Notamacropus eugenii: one gene and its partners. The protein of the gene in region 1 interacts with the protein of each later gene in a pairwise test. Links are inferred from orthologs where the notes say so. Each region holds a gene or a part of one and is shown in the gene's direction. Other genes may lie near its edges.

Region 1 (8,152 bases):
TCATAAAAGAGGCAAGAAAAGGCTTTTTCAATGGAGGGGAAATGGGAGGAGGTGAGAGGGAAAAAGTGAAGCTTACTCTTATCACACTTGGTTTAAAGAGGGAATAACATGCACACTCAATTTGGTATGAAAATCTATCTTACACTACAGGAAAGTAGAGGAGAAGGGGATAAATGGGGTTGGGGGATGATAGATGGGAGGGCAAATGGGAGGAGGGAGTAATTAGAAGCAAATACTTTTGGGGAGGAACAAGGTTAAAAGAGAGAATAAATGGAAGGCAGGATAGGATCGAGGGAAATATAGTTAGACTTACACAACATGACGATTATGGAAGTCTTTTGCAAAGCTGTACATGTATAGCCTATATCGAATTGCCTGCCTTCACAGTGGGGATGGGTAGGGAAGTAGGAAGGGAGAAAAGTTGGAACTGAAAGTTTTAGGAATGAATGTTGAGAATTGTTTTTGCATGCAAATGGGAAATAAGAAATATAGATAATGGGATATTGAAATCTATCTTGCCCTACAAGACAAGACAGAAGATGAGGATAAGGGAAGGGAGAGGTGTGATAGAAGGGAGGGCAGATTGGGGAAGGGGTAATCAGAATGCACGGCATTTTGGGGTGAGGGAGGGGAGAGATGGGGAGACAATTTGGAACTCAAAATTTTGTGGAAAGGAATGTTGAAAACTAAAAATAATGAACATTAAAAAAAAGAAAAAGAAAAAAGAAAGAATTCACTGATCACCTCCTGAAAGAGATTCCAAAAGGAAAACTCCTAGGAATATTGTAGCCAAATTCCAGAGTTCCCAGGTCAAGGAGAAAATATTACCAGTAGTCAGAAATAAACAATTCAAGTATTGTGGAAATTCAATCTGGATAACATAGCAGCTTCTACAGTAAGTGATCAAAGGGCTTGGAATATGATGTTCCAGAGGTCAAAAAAAGCTAGGATTAAAACCAAGAAACATCTACCCAGAAAAACTGAGTGTAGTACTTCAGGGGAAAAAACAGAATTTCAATGAAATAGAGGAGTTCTTATTTGTATCCTTAGTGCTTTGTATAGTGTTTATGAAATGGAACTGAATCTCAAACTTTACATGTCCAGACCAAAACTCATTATTTTCCCCAAACCTACTCTTCCTAACTTCCTTAGTTCTATAAGTAGTTCCGTTATCCAGCTTGAAAACCTTGGAAGTACCTTTGGTTTTTCAGTTTCCCTCACACCTGATATCCCATTAGTGTGGCCCATGCTGGAGTTAGGAAGAACTGAGTTCAAATCTGACCTCAGACACTAACTTATATGATCCTGGGTAAATCACTAACTTCTGCTTATCTCTGATTCCTCATCTGCAAAATAGGGATAATAATAGCACTTACCTCCCAGGGTTGTTGTAAAGATCAAATGATAATTATAAAGTACATAGCACAGTGCCTGGCACACAGTAAATACCACAAACATTATCTCTTCTTTTGATTATTCTCATTATGCCTTGTTGATTCTACCTCCATAGCATCTTGGATGTATCTCCTCTCCACTTACACTTATGGTTCCATGGACTATTTTGATAGCCTCCTAACTAGTCTTGCTTCCAATCTCTCTCTGTTACTACCCCATTAGCCACAAAGCTGCCAAACTGATATTTCTAAACCATAAGTCTGATGGTTTCAATCCAATGCTGAAGAAACTCTTGTGGTTCCCTCTTGACTCTAGGATAAAATACAAAGCCCTTGACATTTCGACTCTACCCTACCTCTTACTTTACATTAATCCCTTCACATACTTTAGATTCAGATCAAACTGGCCTATTCATTACTTGAACACTTTGATTTATGCCAGGAACTCTACCCTTATTCTAAATCTTGGAGTCCTTAGTGGCTTTAAAGGCTCAGCCTGTGCCACCCCCTAGCCCACATAGCCAGATTCCTCTGAGTGCTACTGTCCTTTCCCCCACCAATTGCTTTGTTTTTAGTAAGTCAGTCAACAAACATTTCATGCTTATTATGTGCCTAGCACTGCGCTGAGTGATGGAAATGCAAATAAAACCAGAGTCCCTGCTTCTCAAGGAGTGTTCCAATAGAGGAAGACAACACATAAAAGGGAGCTGGAACGGGAGAAGAAGGAATCCCGGGATGCATGGTAGAAAATGTCCAGTGGATGTGAGTGCAGCCTGAAGAGGGGATGAAGACATTTTTGGCCTGAATCTCTTCTTTATATTGGTGGTTCTGAGAGGAACTGGCCAATCAGCAGATGAGGACATAGGGATGGAGGCTGCTTCTAGTGTGAAGAGGTTTCTATGGCCTGCAGTGGTGAGTCAGTGATGCAGTACATTCTGTATTTATTGCTGAGTACGTCTTGTTTCCTTCAAGAAAATATAAGCTTTTCAAGGCGAGGTTCTGTTCCATTTTTGTCTTTATATGCACAGTGTCTGGCTCGGAGTAAATGCTTAATAAATGTTATTGAATGAATTAATGAAGTTAATTGTATATATTTTAGTTTCTCCGGCTCAATAGTAAATTCCTTGAGGTATTTTTATGTATTTCCTTGGTATTTACCTATTACAGTGGAGCTCAGTCAAAGCTTGTTGAATGAATCAACTCAGTTCCTAAATGGTTTAACAATGAATAATACAAATGGCATTATATTTTTCGGGTGAGGAAAAGAGGTTAGTTGAGACCAGAAAACATTTTATAAGATTTACGACTGCTTTGAAGCAGCGTGGCTGTATCCTGGATGGAGATCATACTGGAGGAAGACCTGAATTCAAACACAACTCTGATTGATTCTTGAAGAGGACCAAAATGACACCATCATGATAAAGTCAAGTTTCTGTGGCTGATCAGACCAATACTAGCTGGGAACGCTCTACCACAGATATCCCGTGTGAATATTTGGGGTGGATACTCCAAATTTGCACATCCTATGTTTCCTTTGAGTTACTTCAATTCTGCTTTGCTCATGCAGCACAGCACCCTTTCTGGTGCGGGCATACCATGCTGAGCGCTCCTGTGCCAGTGTCTCCCATGTCCCACAATCAATTCCAGTTCACACTTGAGAGTGTCCTTGTATCACCAACGTTACAGAACAAGGGCTGATATGCATTGGTAGAAGTTTTTCCCCAAGGAGGTCCCTCCCTAATACAGGTGAAATGAAAGGTGGGGGCACAAGTCAATTATTTAAATATAACGCCTGGTTTTTCTCCAATCCCTTCATTTTACAGATAAGAAAAGTGAGGCCAAGACTAAGTGACTCACTTAAGGCCACAGAGGTAAGTAGCAGAGTTAGAATTTGAACCCAGGCCTTTCTCCCTCCATATCCAGACCACTTTCCACTTAACTTTGTCATTTCACTGAATCAGCAAATGGAAAAGGCCCTAAAAGGGCCCGCTCCCATCTCTGGATCGCCCATTAATGTGGAGAAAGGAGAAGAAATGACCAAGGCATGTGAGAACCTCTTTCTACAAGACCTTTGCAGGAGTCAATACCTTCCTTTCCTTCTGCAGGCCAATATTTTTCATTTGGGGGAACACCTAAGGGCAAGGAGGTGGCACAGTATGCAGGGCACCTGGCCTGGAGGCAGAAGACCTGAGTTCAGATTCAGCCAAAGACACTTACTAGCTGTGTGACCCCATCTCAGGTTCCCCATCTATAGAATGAGCTGTAGAAGGAAATGGCAAACCACTCCAGTATCTCTGCCAAGAAAGCCCCGTGGGCCACAACAGCCCAGGAACTGATTTGGCAGACAAACAGATGAGGACCCAGAGAAAGAAAGGCTAACCCACGTGCCCAAAGGCACCAGGTTCCATAAACAGCGAGCAGGTCCGACCTGTGACCAGGTAGGCATTTATGTGTGCCAGGCACCCCTCGGGCACAGCACGCCGCCCAGGGCGCAGGCTTTCCTTTCTTGCCTCCCCTTTTCAAAGAGAACGTATCCTGGTACTAACCATCCTTTCCGCAGCGCTTTAATACCTCATTGTATCCCCCTACCAGCCTTGGAAGGTAGGAGCTATTATGATCGGTCCCGGGTTTTACAAAGGAGGAAACTGAGGAAGGGTTGACGCGCGGCCCGCCGCGCCGCAGCCAGAAGGTGCCCGAGACAGGACTCGATCTCCAGGCTTCCGGGCGGCGGGCGCCGCGGCTCCATGAAGTGCCCACTGTGTGCCAGGGTCTGTGGCGCACTAGGCCTGGGCCCCACGCTCGGCCAGGGCACCTTCTACTATCGCTTTTACAGGCGGTACCAGGAGACCCACCGGCACACCACCTACGTTAGGAAGAAAGGCACAAGCCCCGCCCCAAATGGCGTCGGGACCCTCCCTTCCTCGCTCTCGTCCAACCCCACCCTTTGCAGGCCTAGGGGTGGGCGGGGACTCCGCGGCTCGCCCCGCCCCCCGCGCCTCGAGGGCGGGGTGGGTGTGCTCTGAAGTTGTCGCGCACGCGCCGCTGTGGAGGAGGCGGTTGAGGCCGTAGTTGACTGGAGAAGGAGGTGGCGGCGGCGGCGGCGGCGGGGGGCGGGGGAGTCTTGGGAGAGGCTGTGAAGAGTCACCTGTGAACGAAGGGCCGCCCGCTGCGCTCCTGGCTCGGCGGGTCCGGATCGGGGTCGGCTTCGAGCGGGGGCCCGGGCGGCGGCTGCGGCGCCTCCTCCTCCTCCGCGGAAGCCCCTCGCACCGTCGGAGAAGGGCTCGCGCTGCTCCCGGGGGAGGGCGGCCGGGCGGGGACGCCGCCAGCCGCCGGCCGCTCTCAGCCCCTGCTACCGGGAAGCTTTCGAGCCTCGCTGACTGCCGCCGGGCGTCCGGCCGGGTAGGTGCCTCCGGCGGCCGCGAAGAGAAACTTTCCGAGCTCTTCCTCCGGCGCGGGGAGCCGTGGTCCTCCCCCCTCCCGGGCGGCGGCGGCGGCGGTGTCGGCCGACGCCATGTTGGGGTCTGGGGAAAACGGGGCTCCCGGCTCCCTCGCCGCGCCTCGGGTCGGGCGCGCGGGAGCCCTGCCTGTCGTGGGGCCGGGGACCACGGGCCGAGGGGAGGGGGTCGGCCACCGAGGCTTCCGCCCTCCCTAACCCACCTCGGCGCCTCGGGTCCGGCCCCGGACCTCCGGCTCCCCGCGGTGGAGGCCCGAGCGCGCGCCCCGGGACCCGAGGCCGGGGAGCCGATCTCAGCCGGGTCGGAAAGAAGTGGCCCCGGCGTGGCCGGGGCGGGGGGGCGGACGCCTCCGTCCAGGAGTCGGCTCGTTGGCGCCCCGGGGTCTCTCCGAGGCCGATGGTGGTTCCCCGACTTGATTTCTTTGGAGGCTTTTAAAACTCAGGGTGTTGTTTGCCAGGCTCTGCCCTATTCCTGTTGTACGTTTGACTGTAGAGGAGCGTACAGATTGCGATTAACCAGGGACATTACCTGTATATTTTTGCTGCATATTATTGCAAATTACGTTAAAATGATAGTTGGGTTTTTTCTTATACAGTCGGAGATAGCCTAAAGACATTTAGACAAAAAAATCAGCATGTGTAGACCTGTCGTCCTCGAAATAAAGTGAAGCGAGTTAAACACCGACAAGTAATTTTTCACTAGTTCTGGGAGCTGCGTGTGTACCGCATTCCTAGTTCAGTATATTTGCCCCTGTTGTGGCCTTTGGTCTCTTTATAGGGAGTTGAGGTTATTCAGCATTACGAAACCCTGGGTTAATTTTTCCTTCGGAAGGCGCTGACAACGATGGGATAAAACTATATTAAACATTACCTTTGTATTAAACGATACTTACCATCAGTCACCAATTTGCTTAAAAATAAAAAAAAACCCAACTGAAATAGGATATTTAAATAGGGTAATAACACTTAAGGATTTAAGTATCCTTAGAAATAATCCCTAAGAAACAAGTGGTCATAGAGACATGGAAAGTAGGGGAAGAAGCCATCTGGATCTGGTCCAACTCCTCATTTTACAGATGAAGAAGCTGACCTGGGAAGGTTGCAGCTTGCCCAAAGTCTCAAAGACGGAAGGCAGAATTTTAATTTAGGTCCTCTAATTCCATAACCATTGCTCTTTCCATTGTTCTACACAACCTGATGTACTGAATGAAAATTTTTTTAAGGCATCATTTTGATCAGAAATGTGTTGCAGTTCACCAGAGTTTTGAGAATGAAATTGTTTGCTCTTTTTTCGTGTATGTGTTATCTTTAACTGAATCTTAGTATCTCACAGTAGTTATATTTAGAAGGTTGTGGAATGAAATGATTGACCTTTGAAACTCTTGTCACTCTGTGTGTTAAATACACTTAATAGTTTTTTCCCTTTTCACTCTGTCCAATTGCTTCAAGATTTGTGTCCACAGTAGTATGAAAATCAGCTACCAAGTATTAGAGCCCCTTCTTTAAATGCAGACCCTTTTCCTAAGATGCTCAGTTGAAAGACCAAAGGTAGGATGCCAGATCCTGGAGTGAAATGATTGAGAACTTTTAAAAAACCTAATTACATGAATTAGTATGTCAATAGGGCATAGCCACAATGGCATTTCTTAATCAAGTCCTGATAGTATTTGTGTCCCTCTGTCTTTTCCATGAAATGGATGAAATCAAAGCTAAAAGAGGGCCATCAGTGATGAATACCAGGAGTCTGAATGGTGATGTCCTTACTAAGTACAGCTCAGTTTTAAAGAGTTAAATACAAATATTCACACTAACTTGAAAAAAATTGGGCAATGACTGGGACAAGGCCTGTAATGCCATGCTTTCTAATGAATAAGATTGTTTTTGTATTACTGCTGTAAATCCATATTTTTTTGTATAGATAACAGGCTGAACTTTACTATTATTATTGTTGAGGACTAGAAGAGACCTTTGATTTCATTGATATCATGAACTCCTGTGTGAGAAAATGCCTTCTCTTAAAGCGGGTAGACACCTTCTCTGAAACATAAGAGTATAATAGAGTTGCCTAGATTCACAAAGTAAGTGTGTTAGAGACAGAATTTATATCCAGGTATTCTTGGCTTCAAGACTGACTATCTCTTCTTCTGTCTCTCTTTACCAGTATTGGAAATGAATAAATCAGACATACATACATAGATTTTTGACCATGTGACCCACTGTTGAAAAAACAAAACAACTGAGGACATCTCTGCTCTAGGACTTGATAGATTCTTCATCCTATAGAATGTGCTTCCATTTGTTAACCATATTTTACCTTTTCACAGCCTTACTGAAAACCCATCTTTCCTGATTGAAATCAATTCTCCCTAAACGTGTTTTAGTTTACTTATTAATCCTCATCTCCTTGAACATAGGAGATATATCTTGTCTGTATGAGGAATCCTTAATACTGAATACTATGAACTCAGTGAAATACCATTAGCTTTCTTCCAAAGTTGTTTTAAATGCATAGACATACTCAGTCTATTTGGAAACTTTCAGAAGACTAATTTGGAATTTCTTTGGATGACTTGGTGATTCAATATTAAATTGCAGTTACTTAAATATTTGTAGAAGTCTTGTAGGTATCAAGGAAGGTGTGGTTACTTAAACTCAACTCTACACCACTAACAAGGGAAATAGCGGATCTCCATAATGATTGTATAGACATCCCTCACTAAATTTGCCCTAGCCAACTTCATTTCATAATTCTATACTTAGGAAATAATCAACCTAACAGTGTTGCTATAACGGAGACATCAGATAATCAGATGATCAAGTCACTCTGTACCCTCTGGAGAGTAGCCTGTTTGGAGTTTTTAATAATAATAAGCCTAATCAGAAATGGTAGCTTTAAGACTTGGGGGAGGGGGGGTGAGAAGCTTATCAAATCTTGGAGGGGTATCACCCCTTGGGCTGTTGGAGTAGGGCTCCCATCCTAATTGTCAGGGACATCAGAAAGAGGCATGTGTGGCACAGCTCATTCTTACCGTTACTTAGTACCTAGAACAGTGCTTTAGTAAAAATGCTGGTTGAATTGAATGTATTGAATTTTTGAGTTAGTCATGTATTGAATGTTTTAGTTATGTATTAGAATGTATTGAATTTCTGAATTAGTCATATGAAAGATAGTAGTAGATGTTTCATTAAAGCAGTTGTAGAATGAGCTAGAAGGAATACAGTTTTACAAACTAAAGAGAAGAAATACTTTGAAAGGCATGTGAAGTTATAGTCTTCAACAATGCAAAGTAGCCACTGATAGATA
Region 2 (8,240 bases), on another chromosome or scaffold:
CATGAGTGGTAGCTAATGGATTAGCTACATGGATGCCCATGTGAGAAAATCAAAATTGGGAAATTTGTGGCAAACAAGTCTGGGGCAAAGAATTATGGGAAGATATTTGGGACATGTCTTTCGTTACTAACTTGTCAGTTTTTCTTTTCTTTTTTTTTTTTTAATTAAATTTATTTATTTAACTTTTAACATTTATTTTCACAAAATTTTGGGTTACAAATTTTCTCCCCTTTTATCCCCTCCTCCCCCCAAACACCAAGCATTCTAATTGCCCCTATGACCAATCTGCTCTCTCTTCTATCATCCCTCTCTGCTCTTGTCTCCATCTTCTCTTTTGTCCTGTAGGGCCAGATAGCTTTCTATACCCCTTTACCTGTATTTCTTATTTCCTAGTGGCAAGAACATTACTCAACAGTTGATCCTAACACTTTGAGTTCCAACTTCTTTACCTCCCTCCCTCTCCACCCCTTCCCTTTGGAAGGCAAGCAATTCAATATAGGCCAAATCTGTGTAGTTTTGCAAATGACTTCCGTAATAGTTGTGTTGTATAGGGCTAACTATATTTCCCTCCATCCTATCCTGTCCCCCATTACTTCTATTCTCTTTTGATCCTATCCCTCCCCATGAGTGTCGACCTCGAATTGCACTCTCCTCCCCATGCCCTCCCTTCTATCATCCCCCCCACCCTGCTTGTCCCCTTATCCCCCACTTTCCTGTATTGTGAGATAGGTTTTCCTACCAAAATGAGTGTGCATTTTATTCTTTCCTTTAGTGGAATGTGATGAGAGTAGACTTCATGTTTTTCTCTCACCTCCCCTCTTTATCCCTCCACTAATGAGTCTTTTGCTTGCCTCTTTTATGAGAGATAATTTGCCCCATTCAATTTCTCCCTTTCTCCTCCCAATATATTTCTCTCTCACTGCTTGATTTCATTTTTTTTTTTAAGATATGATCCCATCCTCTTCAATTCACTCTGTGCACTCTGTCTCTATGTATGTGTGCGTGTGTGCATGTGTGTGTGTGTAATCCCACCCAGTACCCAGATACTGAAATGTTTCAAGAGTTAGAAATATTGTCTTTCCATGTAGGAATGTAAACAGTTCAACTTTAGTAAGTCCCTTATGACTTCTCTTTGCTGTTCACCTTTTCATGGTTCTCTTCATTCTTGTGTTTGAAAGTCAAATTTTCTTTTCAGCTCTGGTCTTTTCATCAAGAATACTTGAAAATCCTCTATTTCATTGAAAGACCAATTTTTCCCCTGAAGTATTATACTCAGTTTTGCTGGGTAGGTGATTGTCAGTTTTTCATGTAGAGGTTTACATGGCCCTCACCACACCAGAACATGACTACAATGCACACGTTGATGGACTAGCAAAGATTGCCACTCAACATATTGTATCTACTCTGATCGGTACTTGTCAGGCCTAGAGGCCTAAGGGCTACCCAAGTCTTTCCTTACCTGTCGCAGGTCTTCGGCTGGCCAAACTGGATAAACGTATGAGAGAAGAGACTTTCCAGAGTCAAACAAGGGTTAGGCTTTATTCAGGGTCTTGGTTACATGTGCAGGGGGAATTCTTCCTCAGGAGAGAGCAATCCTCTTCCCAAGGAGGCAAAGATCTTACAGTAAGAGAAGAGAATGGAAGTGGAAGTGGGAGAGGGGAGAGGGAAGAGGGAAGAGGGGCCTTCTGTCCTCTAAGGGCCCCTCAGCACTAAGAGCGCCTTCAGGCTTTCCTGACCCTACTTAAGCTCTCCCTCCGCATAGTTTGCACCTGAATACCATGCCTGTTCTCAGCCCTTAGACAACAATAGGTGCGCTCAAACCATGGGTTAATCTCAGGGGCGGGGATGCTCTCCCCAGCAAGTTTCCCATGGGGAAGAGGCGGAAATGCATGAGATAGCCCGGGTCTCACACCTCAATTCCCAGCTGTTCCCTGGAGGGCCTCATGAGAACTCTAAGGTTTAGAAGTCCTCACCTTTACCTGCCCGAGACTGTCCACATGGAACTGAGCTTACACCCCCAACAGGTACTAGCAAAATGAGTCCATCAAACAGTCAGCCATTTAAGGGTCCAGGTCACATACCAGTGGGCACAAGACTGAGGTATTAGTATCTCTCATTCATTGTTGAAACAAGTAGCAGAGGAATGTGTATTAATGTATCTATGTATGTATATGCATATATCCATACATACACATATATACATATATACATACATACACACACACACACATACACACACACACACACACACATATATATATATATATATATATATATATATATATATATATATATATATATATATATATATATATACATAAAATTTGGAAAGGAACAAACTGCTTCTCAGGTAGTAACTGGAGAGAAAGCAAGGGAAAAAGTACCAGCCCAAATTTAGCAAATAGATTATATTGGAGCCCTACCCCAAGATAAAGGATGCAAATTTATATGTACTTGTGTTGACACCTATTCACGTGCACTAGTGACTTGTCTCTATAAGAATCCAACCCAGAAAAACATCTGTAAAGCTTTAGATATCATAAGTCTGTATTACGGAACCCCAATGCAGATCCAAAGTGACAATGGGTCACATTTCAAAGGTAATGAAATGAAGAGATGTTATGTATTAAATAAAATAGAATGGATATATCATATTCTATATTATCCGTAAGCATCTGGGTTAATTGAAAGAATGAACAGATTATAGAAAGAACAGTTAAGTAAGTTAAGTTCTAATTATTCTTCTCAACATTGGAAAGATAATTTGTTCACTGCTTTGCATAATTTGAAAAATAGACCATTAGGAGGAAGTATACCTCTAGCCTGAATGAGGAGTCCAAATCTTCAAATTAGAAAACAACAAACACATAAGATCCCAAATATTGAGTATTGAAATGTGAGGCCAGATGTCCCAGCACTGTATCCAGGGACACCTGGTTTGGCAGTGTGTGGTTTATATTGTTTAGAGGACTTTAGATTGGATAGAAATAATAAAAATATCTACTGGAATATGTATGAGAATCCCCCAAAATCATTTTGGATGGATATTACCTAAATCTGAATTAGCAGTTCATGTATTGGGGGGAGTGATAGATTCTAATTTATCAAGGAAGATTCTGAGGATCACCTGGCAGGATAAGGTATCAGACACTGAGGTCCTTGCTCGAGCTGAACTGCCAAGCATTCAAACTATGCTTCAGAGAACGCAACTCCAATGAGCTAGCCATATTGTTTGAATGCAAAATGTATGCTTGCCAAAAAGATTATTTTATGGGGAACTTACATGGGGCAGGTGATCACATGATGGCCAGAAGAAATGATACAAGGACACTCTCAAGGTCTCTCTCTCAAGAACTTTGAATTTGACTGTGCAACATGGAAGACACTGGCACAGGATTGCTCAGCATGGCATGCCCGCATCAGAAAAGGTGCTGTGCTCTTTGAGCAAAGCAGAATTGAGACAGCACAAAGTAAACTCAGGATGCGCAAATTTGGGATATCCACCCCAGATATTTACAAGGACTAATGTGGTAGAGCATTCCGAATTCATATTGGTCTGATCAGCCACAGTCAGACCCACTGAAATTTCACTTTATCACAGTGATGTCATTTTGGTTGTCTTCGAAAACAAAGGACAACAACAACCAACCAGTTTATCAAGGAGAAATTATTGTGACATTCCAAAATTTAGGTGAAGAATCCATACGGTCTTGTAAAAATGATAGAATAGTACAAATGATTATTATTCTTTGTGAAATAATACCTCTTGTGGAAACTGATACACCCTCCAAAATAACTAGCAGAGGAACTGAAGGATTGGGTTCTACTGATAGAATAAAATTGGGAGCTAAAGTATGGGTAAAACAGAAGCTAGACAATGTTCCAAAGGCTGCAGAAAATGTAGCATATAAAAAAGATAATTGTTTATTCAAGAGAAGATGATTATCAAATTGAACCCTTGACTCATATTCTACTGTGAATGAGGGCTATGATAGTGGATTCATGGACTCTAGAAGTGCAACTGACCCTATATCTACCCTGCTTTTGGTTATTGTCCCCTTGTTTCTTTTTGGCTTTTTGTCTATTAAATTTGTTTGCTAGATTCGTTTTCTGCAGGCTTAGTACCCCCCACCTGCGATGTCTGATTGCTTAAGCCAAATGTTGTCCCTTATCCATGACTGTGATGTGTCACCCCTGGACCTGGCATCGACCAAGCTCTGGATGCCAGCTAAAGAACTGACCTCTTGAATGGGACCTCTTGGGGCAGGGAAAGCTCTACGTCCAATCTTAGCAGAAAATAGCTATGGAAGAAGAGACCTTAACCCCTTATCCCAAGATTTTGGGTCCCATTCATTCAAGGGGGGAATGATGAGGTGCTTGTGCTCAAGTTCCACCCTAAGATGTTGTTTTATGTGCTTATTTTGTGTGATCCCTGTTATACTGTTGTAAGGTTCTGTTGGCATCAGTTGCCTAAGTTATTGTTTTATATGTTCATTTTCTGTTATCCCTGTTACAATTCTGTTCGTACCAGTTGCCCCACCAACCTATGTAATGAATACATATTACATAATAGAAAAGCTCTTGGGGTCGAATGTAATGGTAATTTAAATGGGAAAATCTTTCTCATTCATTAATAGGTCCATGTGACCTGCTTAAATCACATGGAAGCCTAAATCACATGTGGTGGGAGGAGCTTGTTGAATGGGTGGAATAGGAAAGGTGGAGCAGAGCTGGGAGGAAGCTGATCAGGCTAGTCAGAGCTGGGAAGGACAAAAGTAAGCAGACAGCTAGGCTGGTGAGTGTTCGTTTGTTTGTGGGAAGGCTGGGAGGGAGGGAGACTTGGCAATAACTGCTCCCTGCTATGACAATGTGTATTGACTTCTTGGCTACTATGACTGATTTTGCTTTCTGGTTTGGGGATTTGGCTTTCTGGTGTCTGAATAAATGTTTTTCTTCTGGCTTCCATATGGAGAATCTGTTATACTTTGCAAATGAGAATTATGCCAACATACCATTCACATACTATGAATATTGCCTTGGCGATATACCACCTCAACTAGTGTTTTAATAAACCTTGCCTCTGAAAGAAAGGAGGCTTGAGTTGAATTCTTTTAAGGCTTTTGGTCATTGAATTTTAGGGTTCTCAGCAACCCTACACCTCAACAGGAGAACAGAAGGGAGGAATCAAGCTTTTTTTTTTTAAAAAAGGGCTTGCAGGGAAACTGCAGTTACCTAGAAAATCCAGTTAACTCCTCCTTCTCCTCCCCCTCCCTCCTCTGCTGCTTCTCTTTTTCCTTCTCTTCTCCTCTTCTTCCTCCTCCTCTCCCCCATCTCTTCTTCCTCCTTCTCCTTTTCCTCTCTCAGGGAAGAAACATCTCCCCCCATATTTCTGAGCACTTTCTCTGCAGCTCAGTCTTAGCTGGAGAGGGCACTGAAAAGGTTAAGGGCCTTGGGACTCACAAAGTGCTTTTCTTTTAACAATCAGGGACTGTTCCCTTTATCCCTTTGATGGTTTTTTGTTTCTTTTCTCTTGTTGGATATAAAAACTTGCAGTCAGCCCAATCCCCGCTTCCCCTCCCACAGCAGGTACATTTTCTCTTCTCTTGGGGGGGATTAGAAAAGACGTTCTGGTCCCAGGGAAATAGAAAAGCTCTGCTCTGTCCTCATTTCTTGCCCTTTAACTCAACTCTCCATTGACCTGCTCACTTCTATCCAGCTCAGGCAGTGTGGAAGCCATCCAAGCTTGGCAGGAGACAGATCCTAGTCACTGAGTAATGAAGGAAGAACAGATCTTGGGGCCAAAGTCTCCCCAGCCTTTGTCAAGATCCAGTTGTCATCCAGTAGGCCCCTCCCCATCTAGAGTAAGGCTCACATCTGGGGACCTGATAACAAAACTAAAATTTGAAGTAAAAGTGGAGTCTTTTATTGCGATCCTTGCAAGAAGTGGGCGCATTCCCTACCATGAGAGCAGTGAACTGATACAGAAACCAGAGCAAGCTTTAGAGCTTTAACTGTTAGATATCCCTCCCTTCCAGAACAGGATTGGTCGGGATCCTTCTGGTTACATTCCCACTTCATGCAGCTCCTTGTCATGATGCCCTCCCCAGTGTACCGATAAAGAGACTCTTATCCTATGCAGCAAGTGTCAGATTAATATGCGATGAACTCATTAAGCAAGTGCAGTGAAGAAAAACTTTCCCCCAGTCACTGACTCCAGCTGGTGAAGCTCGTTTCAAGTCTGGCCCCCTTGATCAAGAACTCTGCAGTTTGCTAACTGCTTCTCCTGAAAGGCAGTGGGTGCTGGCTGTTTTACACCACCTTGAAACTGCGACATTTTATGGAAACCTAACTTTTTAGTATTTACAACAGAGTGAACTTTGGGCAGTTGCTAGACACACAGCCACCTTTAAGTCCCCTTCTCAAACTTGAAGCTTCAAGAACAAGGATCCTAGAGAGAAGGAATCTCAGCCAGGGAGGGAGCAGCCAGTGCTGGACACACTGAGTCCAGGTCAATGCTGAGCCAGACCTTCTCTGGCCTATATTCTCCCAGCCCCCTGGTCCTTCTTCCCTCAATCCCCATTCCTCCACCTCCTTTTCCTTCCACTCCCCATCCTTCTGTGCCCTCTCCATAACTCCCCCACTGGCTAATCCTCTATCTTATCTTTCCATTCCCCCTCCCTTCTTTTGTCCTCTTCCTCCTGCTGCTGTCTATTCATTCTTCTATCCTTCCATCCTCTGATCTTTGTCCCTCTATCCACAGGTCCTTCTATCCCGTTTTTCAACATGCTTCTCCCCACCACCATCTATCTGTGCCCCATCTCCCTGACCCTACACAAACAAAAACAGTGCAACCAAAATTAAAAGGAAAGAAGAAAACTGGGGAAAATCTTTTACAAGTATCTCTGATAAAGGCCTCATTTCTTGAGCTGAGTCTAATTTATAAAAATACAAGTCATTCCTCAATTGATAAATGGTCAAATGATCAAAAAAATGAACAGAAACTTTTCAGATAAAGAAACCAAAGCTATCCACAGTCATATAAAAAAGTCTGAGTTACCAACCAATACCTATCAGATTGGTTAATGTGACAGAAAAGGAGAATGACAAATGTTGGAGGAGACATGAAACTGAAACATTAATGAATTGTTGGTGAAGTTGTGAACTGATCCAACCATTCTGGAAAATAATTTGAAACTATGCCCAAAGAAAACTGTATATAACCTTTGAGCCACCACTATTAGGTCTGCATCCCAAAGACATAAAAAAGAATGGAAAAGAACCTATTTGTACAAAAAATATTTATAGCAGCTCTTTTTGTGATGATGAAGAATTGGAAATTGAGGGGATGAACAAGTTGTGGTATTTTGTTGTGATGGAAGAAATGATGAATAAGACGATTTCAGGAAAGACCTACATGAAATATGAAGTGCGCAGAACCAGGAGAACACTGGAATAGAAATATTGTCCAATGAACAACTGCGAATGACTTCACTATTCTCAATAATCCAAGACAATCCCAATGAACTCATGATAAAGAATGCTATCCACCTCCAGAGAAGGAACAGTTGGTGTCTGAATACAGACTGAAGCATATTATTTTTCATTTTCTTTCTCTTTTTTTGTTTGAATTTTTCTTCCCCAAAATGACTAGTGTTTAACATGCTTTCTCAGGTGTAATTTATATCAAATTGCTAATCATCGCACAGAGCAGGGAGAGGAGGGGGAGGGATTGAATTTAGAACTCAAAACATAAAAAAATTCAGTGAATTCCACTTAAAAAAATTAAAGATTAAATTAAAAAGGAAAAGATTTTCAAAGTGCTCTTCTTTAGGATGATTTTGGCCCTGCTCTCTCAAAGCCAGATCAATTACTTCCCCCTTCAGGGTTTTTAGCTGGCCTGAGCGAAGTGGGGTTCCTCCACATGACACTATCTTAGGCACTCTAGGTATGTTTCATACTGCTGTTATTACTGTTTACATTACTACAGTCCCTGTACCAGTTTAGACAAGTTTTCTCTGGTTTCTCTGAATCCATCACATACATAATCTCATTAGTATTCTACCACAGTCTTGGATCACAACTTGTTCAGCCATTTCCCAAGTGATGGGCAGCTGTAAATATTTTTGTACGTGTGGATCCCTTCCTCCTTTCTTTGTACTACAGCTTAGCAGTAGTATCAAAAGATCAGGATAATCTCACAGCTTTTTAATGCTAGTTCCAAATCACTTTGCAGAATGACT
Region 3 (8,549 bases), on another chromosome or scaffold:
CTACTACTACTACTACTACTACTACTACTGTTACTACTAGCTAACATTTATATAAGGTATCAGGCTAAGGGTTTTTATAAATATTATCTTATTTGATCCTCACAATAACCTTTCAAGGTAGGTGCTATTATCTCCATTTTACAGCTGAGGAAACTGAGGCAGACAGAGGTTTAGTGACTTGCCCAATTAAGTGTCTGAAAAAAAATTTGAATTCCTATCTTCCTAATTCTGGGCCCAGCACCCTTTGTGCTGTAACAACTATTTGACCCTAATGGAATACTATTGTGTGATAAGAAATGACAAAAGAAAAATTTGGGAAGACTTGGATAAACTGATAAAAGTGAAATGACCAAAACCAGAAGAACAATTTATATAGTGACTGTAAAATTGTAAAAAAAAAAAAAAAAAAAAAAAAAGTTTTAAAGACTTACAAACCTAACCCCTCATGACTCCCTAAGATTAATGATAAAGCATGCAATCCATAACAAAGGGCTGATGAAGGGGAGAGATGCAGAACGATATACACGTATGAGAACATTTTGACCAATGTGTATATTTGCTTTGCATAGAGAACTATGCTTGTTTGCCACGAGACAGGGTGTTGAGTTTTGTTTTTTTTTTTAATGGAGGACAGACAGGGTGTGGGGGGGAAGGCCTACTGATAATGATGCTCAAAAACAAGAAATGAAAAAAGGGTCTCACACATGGGAAAAAATATCATACATAGAGGGAGGTGTAGACTAGCAAAACAGCTTTAAAATTAACACACTGAATTTGTTATTTGCAATGGAGATTTATGGTTTTACACACAATTTTCTTCATTTATTTTTCTTTGCATATGGAAATGCTTATGTTAATTGGAGTATGGCAAGTATAGAATAACAAAAAAAATTTTAATTTAAAATTTTCATATACTTCAAATGAACTGGACAAAACAGAAGCCAGTTCCATATACAATCCTCTTTTCTGTTCTCTGTATATTGAAATATTTATGTTTATTGATGATTTATAAGTTCATAATAAATATTTTTCATTAAAAATGAAGGTGTTGGAGAAAAGACAATGTTGCATACCTCCTTCCTCAAAGCAGAGAGGAAGGTGACTATTAAATTAGGATATTTTATTTATTATCAGGCACGACTTTCTTACTGGATGTTTTTACCTGTTTTTCTTTATCAAAAAGGTAGGGTTCCATCTGGAGGAGAGGAAGGAAAGTGACTATCATGTAAAGATAAAAAGCATCAATTAAAAAAAATTAACAAACTTCCCAAAGAAGAACCTCCTTAATTATGGCAGAAAGGTGGAGGAACAATTGGGATAACACAAATGTTTCTGTTTAATTGGGTTGTTTGGGGGTTGTTTTGCAATGTTGGGTTTAATCTAGAGGGATGAGTAAAAAAAGATTGTTATAAAGTTATTAATAAAAGATTATAAAGGTATCAATAAAGCAGTTTAAATGAACTGATTTCACACCTTTTGTTGGTATTTTTGTCACAAAACAAATTATTTTTAACATAAGAGCCAAATAAGTAACTTTAAGGACTCCAACTGAGGTTGAGAATAAACTAGGTCTTGAAGCTTTCTCATGCTCTCCACACTGACCAAAAAATTCTCAGGCACGTATGCCAAAAAACAGTCTTCACAGAAAAGCATTAGCAGAGATCTGCACCACTATCAAGCACCCTGGTATAGTATCACTGTGTTAAGGAAATAGCCTCTTGGGCTTCTGGAGGATATATTACTCATCTACCACATGAATGTTAATTCCACATCAACCAGGTGAACCTTAAGTCATATAAGCAAGCTCTAACTGGGAGGAAACTGAGTACTTCAGGAGACAACATAATCTCTATATTCCCACCTTGGCCTTCTAGGAGAGGATAACTTGTCAGTGAGGTCTTTGAAACACCACAGGTTTAAAACAAACAAGGAGCCCTTGTCAATCATAAAACTAAATATGACATCAGTGATTTATCACTTGGGCATGTTAGAGTAGAAATGTCTAGTTCAAAAGGCAGATATAATTATAAAGTACAGATATTATCCTGATGAATAATGGTTTGCTGGTCCAAAAAAAAAAAAAAAAACCATAACGAAGCATAAGTACACAACAAAATATCTATTTAATCTGGGAGCCTAGTATGAACCGGCAGTATAGTGGAGCAGAGAGCAAGATTTGAAGTCAGAGAAGCTGTAGGCTCAAATTCTGCCTCTGACACTTACTAGTTGTGAGACTTCAGATAAGTCACTTTACCTAAGATTTAGTTTCCTCCTCTGTAAATTGGAGGAAATTATTTGCATTATTTACTTCTGTGACTAAGGATCAAATGAAATGAGGTAGGAGATGCATTCTTCATACTTTCAAGTGTTATTTAAATATTACTTATCAATTTGATAGATAACACTCACCATTCACAGTCTACTTACTTCAAAATTTCAGGGATTTGTGATTTCAGCCATCTCACTATTTCTCCTACTTTTGAAGATCAAATTCCTCTATAACTTAGGTGATTTAGCAGGTTCCTGTGGCCAAAAAAATCAATACTAGGTCAACCATTTGGTTGCAAGCTTCTCCAAAGCTCCAAGCTAGTCTGCTTTTTATACAGTAAGTATATCATGTCTTTAATCAATCCTGTAGCTGAAACATTTCCAACTTGACAAGACCTTCTAGATCTTGTACTAGGTTGGCATAACTTTGAGAATCCAGTGCCACTTCCACACCAGAATGAAACACACAAGTGGGGCTTTGATGGAGGTTCATGTTACACCAGATGATAAAGCCAGGTTAGTCTGAACTGATATTCCTATTCACTCTTTCCATAAATGTTGAAGGATTTACTTGTTTTTACAGGGGAGGGTCTGGACCTGTCATTTCATTACAGAAGGTTCTAACACTACTAGTGTTAAAAAAAAAAAAAAACCTTAAAAATATATCTAGTTCTGATTAATTAGGTTGCCATCCCTGAAATAATTTTATGATCTCATGCTTTGGGATCTTTGCTCTTCTAGCCTTTCATTTAATGATGAGATCAAATACCGTTGAACAGTTTGGAGAAAGGTGAGATTTAGACACTTTAAAAAAACTGAGAAGTCAGTTATAAAATGGAGAAAACAATCACTTGGGAGAAAGTGCTGAGTCAAGTTGCTGTCTCCATGGATAGTGGTAGATCAATCATATATTTTAAAGCATTTAATGTATTTGGGAAGCTACTAGGAGGCTTAGTGTATGGCTGTGTGACTCTGGCTTAGACATAAACGTTCCTGGTCATATTTAATCATAAGAGTGTAAATGTTAGCTATTATTATTAAAATAGCTCCATTTGGGGGAAAGTTTGGTAGAACCATGTGAGCCTGAAGGACTGTTTAGCTTTTGTATATGTTAATATTTAATAAGGTGACACAGTGGATAGAGTGCCACGCCTGGAGTCAGGAAGACATCTTCCTGAGTTCAAATTTGGCCACAGACACTTAGCTTATTAGCTGTGTGACCCTGGGCAAGTCACTTAACCCTGATTGCCTCAGCTCCTCATCTGTAAAATGAGCTAGGGAAGGAAATGGCTAATCAATCCAGTATCTTTGTCAAGAAAACCCCAAATGATGTCACGAAGTCAGATATGACTGAAAAACGAATGAATATGCACAAGATTTAATAAAGTATTTGTTAAATTAAATGTATCAAACACATTGCCATGTCACAGCAGCAAAGGCACTGAATTTGGAATCACAGATTCTGGATTCAGATGAATCCTCTGGAATGAAAAGATGGCAGATCACGGTACTATATATATTCAGAGGTGGAAGAGACTTCAGATGTTACTTAGTTCAATCCCTCCATTTTTCATTTAAGGAATCATACAGGTAAGGTTTGAAAGTAATTTTCAAAACCACATCATTGGACTCCATAGCTCGACTCCTGCCACTACACCATGGTCCTTCAAGCTACTTTCTCACTTTACAAATAATTTTATAAGTAAAATGTATTAATTTAGTAATTTAATTTTTAAAATTTAAATTATTTAAATTTAAATTATTATTTAACCCTATTCAGGGTTCCAATTCTGACCCCTGAAAGACACCTATTAGGTTCTAGGGGCTGCTGGGGATGCTAAGACAAAAATTAAACAGTCCTTCCCTGAACTCAAGGAGTTTACACACTACTGGAGAGATACAACAGGTACTTAAGCAATATAAAGCGTGTATAAAATACTGGGTTGGGGGAGAGAGGGAGTTCAAGAAAGGCCTTGGCATCAGGGTCTTTCCAAATGACCCAGTATCAGTTTCCACTTCTCACCTTGGGCCAAGCTTTATTTGCCGCTTTCCTCCCTTTAGGTGTCCTAAAAATTAAAAGGTGGTCATTTCCTTTCAGTGTATTTTAAAACTGGACGGATTTCACGGAGACTGTAACATTCTGGGACCTCCTGGGACACACCGGAAACAGTAAAGACGCACACAGCCTCAGGCTCCCAGGACCAGCGATTCTGGGTCTGAGACAGAAGGCTCCCACTTCCGGGCTGCAGTTCTCACCTACAATGGTTAACGCCTCTGCCCAGGCTCTAAATCCTAGGGACAAACAGGCTATGGCTAGCCGGGTTCTCCCTTCCGTAGAGTTCCTCCCTGCAGCCCCAACCCAGGGTGACACCTAGATGACTGCAACACGTGGCCGGTGAGTCAGGGGAGAAGGCCAATTATAAAACCACAGAGATGTGAGATAATTAGGACGCCCTTGCGCCGCGCTGCGTGCGTGAGAGGTTTCCCCACCCTCTCCCGCAGGCCTACTGCCCAGCAAAGCGTGCGTGCCCAGACACCCCACTCCACTCCCGGAGCTCCAGCAGCCTCCACGTGTCCTCTCCTTACCCAGCAGCCTCTACGGCTGCCCTGGGAGAAAAACCTCCTGACAACTCGCTCCACACCCCCACCACGCCGAGTACTACAATTCCCAGAAGGCTTCACACTCCCCTTTCTCCCTCCCTCCTCCGCGGGACACGCAGGCGCTCTTGTTCTCATCAACAAGCCGGAGAGGCTCTGAGTGTTGATCGTGCCTAACGGGATTTGTAGTTCTTCCTGGACCTTCGGTCCTTGGGCGGCTGAAGAGGGGTGGACTCCAAGTCTCAGCGGCCCTTGCGCGGCGGAGACCGGTCACGTGGGCGGGGTGGGCCGGGCGTGCGTGCCGCCGTTGATCCGGTGCTGCAGTGAGGAGGTGGTTCTAGCCTTGTTGTGTGTGAGTGTGTGTGTGTATGTGTGTGTGTGTGAATGTGTGTGTGAATGTGTGTGTGAGTGAGGGAGTGAGTGAGGGAGTGAGTGAGCGAGCGAGCCAGCGTGTACGGCCCGGCTTGTTGTTGTCCCTGACTTCCCCCTCCCCTCCACCCCTCCCCCTTTCCCAGCCGCCGCTGCAGTGGCCGCTCCCTGGGCCGTAGGAAATGAGCGATAACGATGACATCGAGGTGGAGAGCGACGTGAGTCCCGGGGTTTCTTCCTTCCCGTGTGTGTCTGTTTGGGGGTCGGGGCCAGAGGCCAGAGACGGAACCGGACGGGGGTGCGGCGTGCAGAGGCCGGGCCGCTTCCTCCTCGCCCTTCCCCTCCGTAGACGGGTCCGCCGTCGCCGTCTCGGTCCGGGCACTTTCCTCACTCGCCCGGCCACCACGGCCTCTGGAGTCCGGATGGGGAGGAGTGGCCTTGGGGAATCCTCCCTTCCCCCCAACTCTTCCCTCATCTCACCCCCGCGGGGGGGGCAGCCTCACCAGGGCCAGTCTACCCCCCTCCCTGATCCCCCCGCCCGGTGCCGGGATGGGGGTACACTCCGCAGCCCATTGTCCAGATCCAGGGAACGGGGACTGTGCTCAGGCCCCTTCCTCCGACCCCCCCCCACCCGTTCAAGATCCCTCTTCCTTTATCTATTGGGGGAGGGGGGGAGTTAGGGTGCCCAGAAGGCCCTTGGCATGGGCTGACGAACGGGGGCATTCAGGACCCCTTCCCCCCAGCGCATCCCCTTTGGCTGGGCTGGATCCCGGAAGAAAGGGCGGCGCACAAGACACACGCCCCCCACCCCCAGCCCAGCACGGGATCCCCGGCTGGGGGGAAGGGAGGAGGGTCGGGCTCACTCCCCATCCCCTGCTTCCTTCACCGCCGGCATTTTCTTTCTTATTTTTGAATGTGAAGCGTAAAAATAACTTCTATATTTTCTATTTTTCTCTCTCTTATTCCAGGAAGAGCAACCGAGGTTTCAATCTGCGGTACGTCTCCTTCTCTCCATTTCATTTTCATTTCCGTTCAGTTCTAATCCTTTTCGGGGTCAGAGAGAGTTCTGTTACTTTCAATGTTATGATGGTAAACTGCACTGTGAAATGCTGGAGGTGAGGTGGGGACCTACGTCGGGGGTTCTAGATGGGGAGAAGGGTTGCAAACTTCATCATTCTAGATTGTCAGGTGTTAGGTTCCATTGAGGCTGAGTGAGTGGGAGGAGCTTTGTCCATAGGAAAGGATCTCATTCTTGAGGGATCAAATCCAAGGGATCTGTAGAACCACTGTTTGGATTCAGGAAATGGAAGAAGCTCTGAATTCAGTTGTTGTCAGTATTTGAAGGCAAAGCAGCCTAGAGAATATTTGGAGACAAATAGCTTTTAAACCATTGTTACTTTGGAGGCACATGTGATTATCAGAAATGAAGAGCCATATGAATACTGTATTCTTTAAAGGGCTTAGCAGTATTACATCAGAATGTAATGCAGAAATTGAAGCCACAAGTTGCACATACCGGAACAGTAGCAGAATGTCACTGCTCTAGACCCATGGGTTGAAGTAGGTTTTGAAACTAAAGAGGAAAAGCTTTGTAGTTGGTGTGGAAGAAAGGCATGCCAAGACAGAAGAAAATGTGTTAGATCATTTCTTTGGTTTTCTGTATTAATGTATTTGATACTTGCTTCCGTGGATGTAGATATGTAGTTTAAATTGATAGAAACCTGGAAGTGTTCAGTGAATTTGAAGGGGGTGGGGAGAAGAGACTTTTTGTGGGGCACAAGAGAAAAGGAGATTAGAGTGGGAAAGGGAAATGAAGCACAACAGAGTCCCTGATAGTTTGCATTTGGAAGCAGTAAGGAATAATAATTATTTTAAAAAGAGAAACTTGCTGAGTTAAGACTTGATTTAACAGAACAAACCGGGATTCAGAATCTTTTCCAGAGATCTGGGGCTTCAGAAGAATTTAAACAATATTAAGAGAAATCTCAGGATGTAATTATTTTATTAGACCTAAAAACTGTTTCTGATTGTCATTTGTTACAACAAAAATTCATTTTAGTGGACTGAAAGATTCCTTATTTTGGATTTTTTGTTGTAAATCTTCTTAACAGTATATCCACTTTAACATTGTACTTTTTTAAGCAAAATTTTAAAAAATATTTCACTTTTCTCCTGAATTCCCTTGATGCGATTTGAAAATGGCCCCCAAATGAAGGATGGTAAGAAGGGCAAAAGAGCCCTTGAAGAACGTCTTTTCCAGACTCTTACTTAGAACAACTAGTCATGGGCTTTCAGCAAAAAAACAGTTTTCTTTGTTGAGAGAAAGTTGCTTTTTCAAGCCCTTTTTCATTTTAAAATCATTGATGTGTTGATTTTAAATGGACATGAAATGATTAAAATGTACTTCTCTGCACCTTAACATCTAATCTTTGGTTAAGTGTTAAGATATCTAGAGTTTATCCCTTTGATTTTTTTTTTTTTTTGGCTTCTTTTTAATTTGGCTTGCAGAGACTTTCAGACATCTTGCACAAGGTAATCACAACAGTATTACAAGCATGTTTTTCAGTATCACAAACAACTATTAGGACCTGGTAGAGGAATAAGAATTCCCCTTCCTATCATGTGTTCCAAAACTCAAGGCCTGGGCATTTTTTGTTAAGCTGAAAGAAATTCCCATTATAAAGCAACCATTTTTAGGCCTTGACTTTTGAAGGAAAATCAAGCTGGAATAACAGGAAAAAATTTGATCATATTGTGAGAGTTTTAAAAGTTACTTAGAGAATATTAAGTTTTACAGGTGTGAAAATCCTGTTTCATGAGACCTTAGAAACTGACATGAAGTAGGAAATAAAACTAACTGTAAGAGAAAGTGAAACTGAATTTAATAATTCTCTGGGAGCCATGCGAAAGATAAAGACGTTGATTGGTAGGGAAAAAAAATAAGCTTGACTAGAGAAAACAGTCTGAGTAACCCAGAAGAATGACTTGAAGAGTATTTCATCAGTATTTCCCATAACAAAAAATTGCCATGTTGCAAAAATCCCAAGTGATGTGATTTTCCTTTTACTTTAATTCCACGAATTTTTAAAAAATAATGGAAGCAAGATAAATTCCTTTCACATAATATTTTTATGGTTTTTTTTCTATTTTGGTAGAGTTCCACAGGAAGGGGTTTAAGTTTTGAATACAAGTATGTGAGACTGAGACTATTTCTAAGAGATTGTCCTTCATGCTAGCTCAGATTACCGCAATTGCAGCATATTTTCTAGAAGTTTTAAAACGGGTTTGTGCAATTCAGTTTCTGATGTTGAAGT

Evidence for each region. The genes of interacting proteins can lie anywhere in the genome.
Region 2: the proteins of PLEKHF2 (region 1) and ACY3 interact in binary tests that used the Homo sapiens proteins (3 or more experiments, as listed by UniProt). The two-hybrid records come from large-scale screens. The link is inferred for Notamacropus eugenii from reciprocal best matches to the Homo sapiens genes PLEKHF2 and ACY3.
Region 3: the proteins of PLEKHF2 (region 1) and MAX interact in binary tests that used the Homo sapiens proteins (3 or more experiments, as listed by UniProt). The two-hybrid records come from large-scale screens. The link is inferred for Notamacropus eugenii from reciprocal best matches to the Homo sapiens genes PLEKHF2 and MAX.

Annotation. Positions count from the first base shown.
Region 1 is NC_092875.1:157,845,794-157,853,945, reverse strand, and holds the start of PLEKHF2 (pleckstrin homology domain-containing family F member 2), read left to right. Parts: upstream 1-4,654; 5' UTR 4,655-4,793; intron 4,794-8,152. UniProt on the Homo sapiens protein: May play a role in early endosome fusion upstream of RAB5, hence regulating receptor trafficking and fluid-phase transport. Enhances cellular sensitivity to TNF-induced apoptosis.
Region 2 is NC_092873.1:20,205,584-20,213,823, forward strand, and holds the start of ACY3 (N-acyl-aromatic-L-amino acid amidohydrolase (carboxylate-forming)), read left to right. Parts: upstream 1-4,698; 5' UTR 4,699-4,795; intron 4,796-8,240. UniProt on the Homo sapiens protein: Plays an important role in deacetylating mercapturic acids in kidney proximal tubules. Also acts on N-acetyl-aromatic amino acids.
Region 3 is NC_092872.1:315,998,252-316,006,800, forward strand, and holds the start of MAX (protein max), read left to right. Parts: upstream 1-5,007; 5' UTR 5,008-5,417; coding exon 5,418-5,453; intron 5,454-6,203; coding exon 6,204-6,230; intron 6,231-8,549. UniProt on the Homo sapiens protein: Transcription regulator. Forms a sequence-specific DNA-binding protein complex with MYC or MAD which recognizes the core sequence 5'-CAC[GA]TG-3'. The MYC:MAX complex is a transcriptional activator, whereas the MAD:MAX complex is a repressor.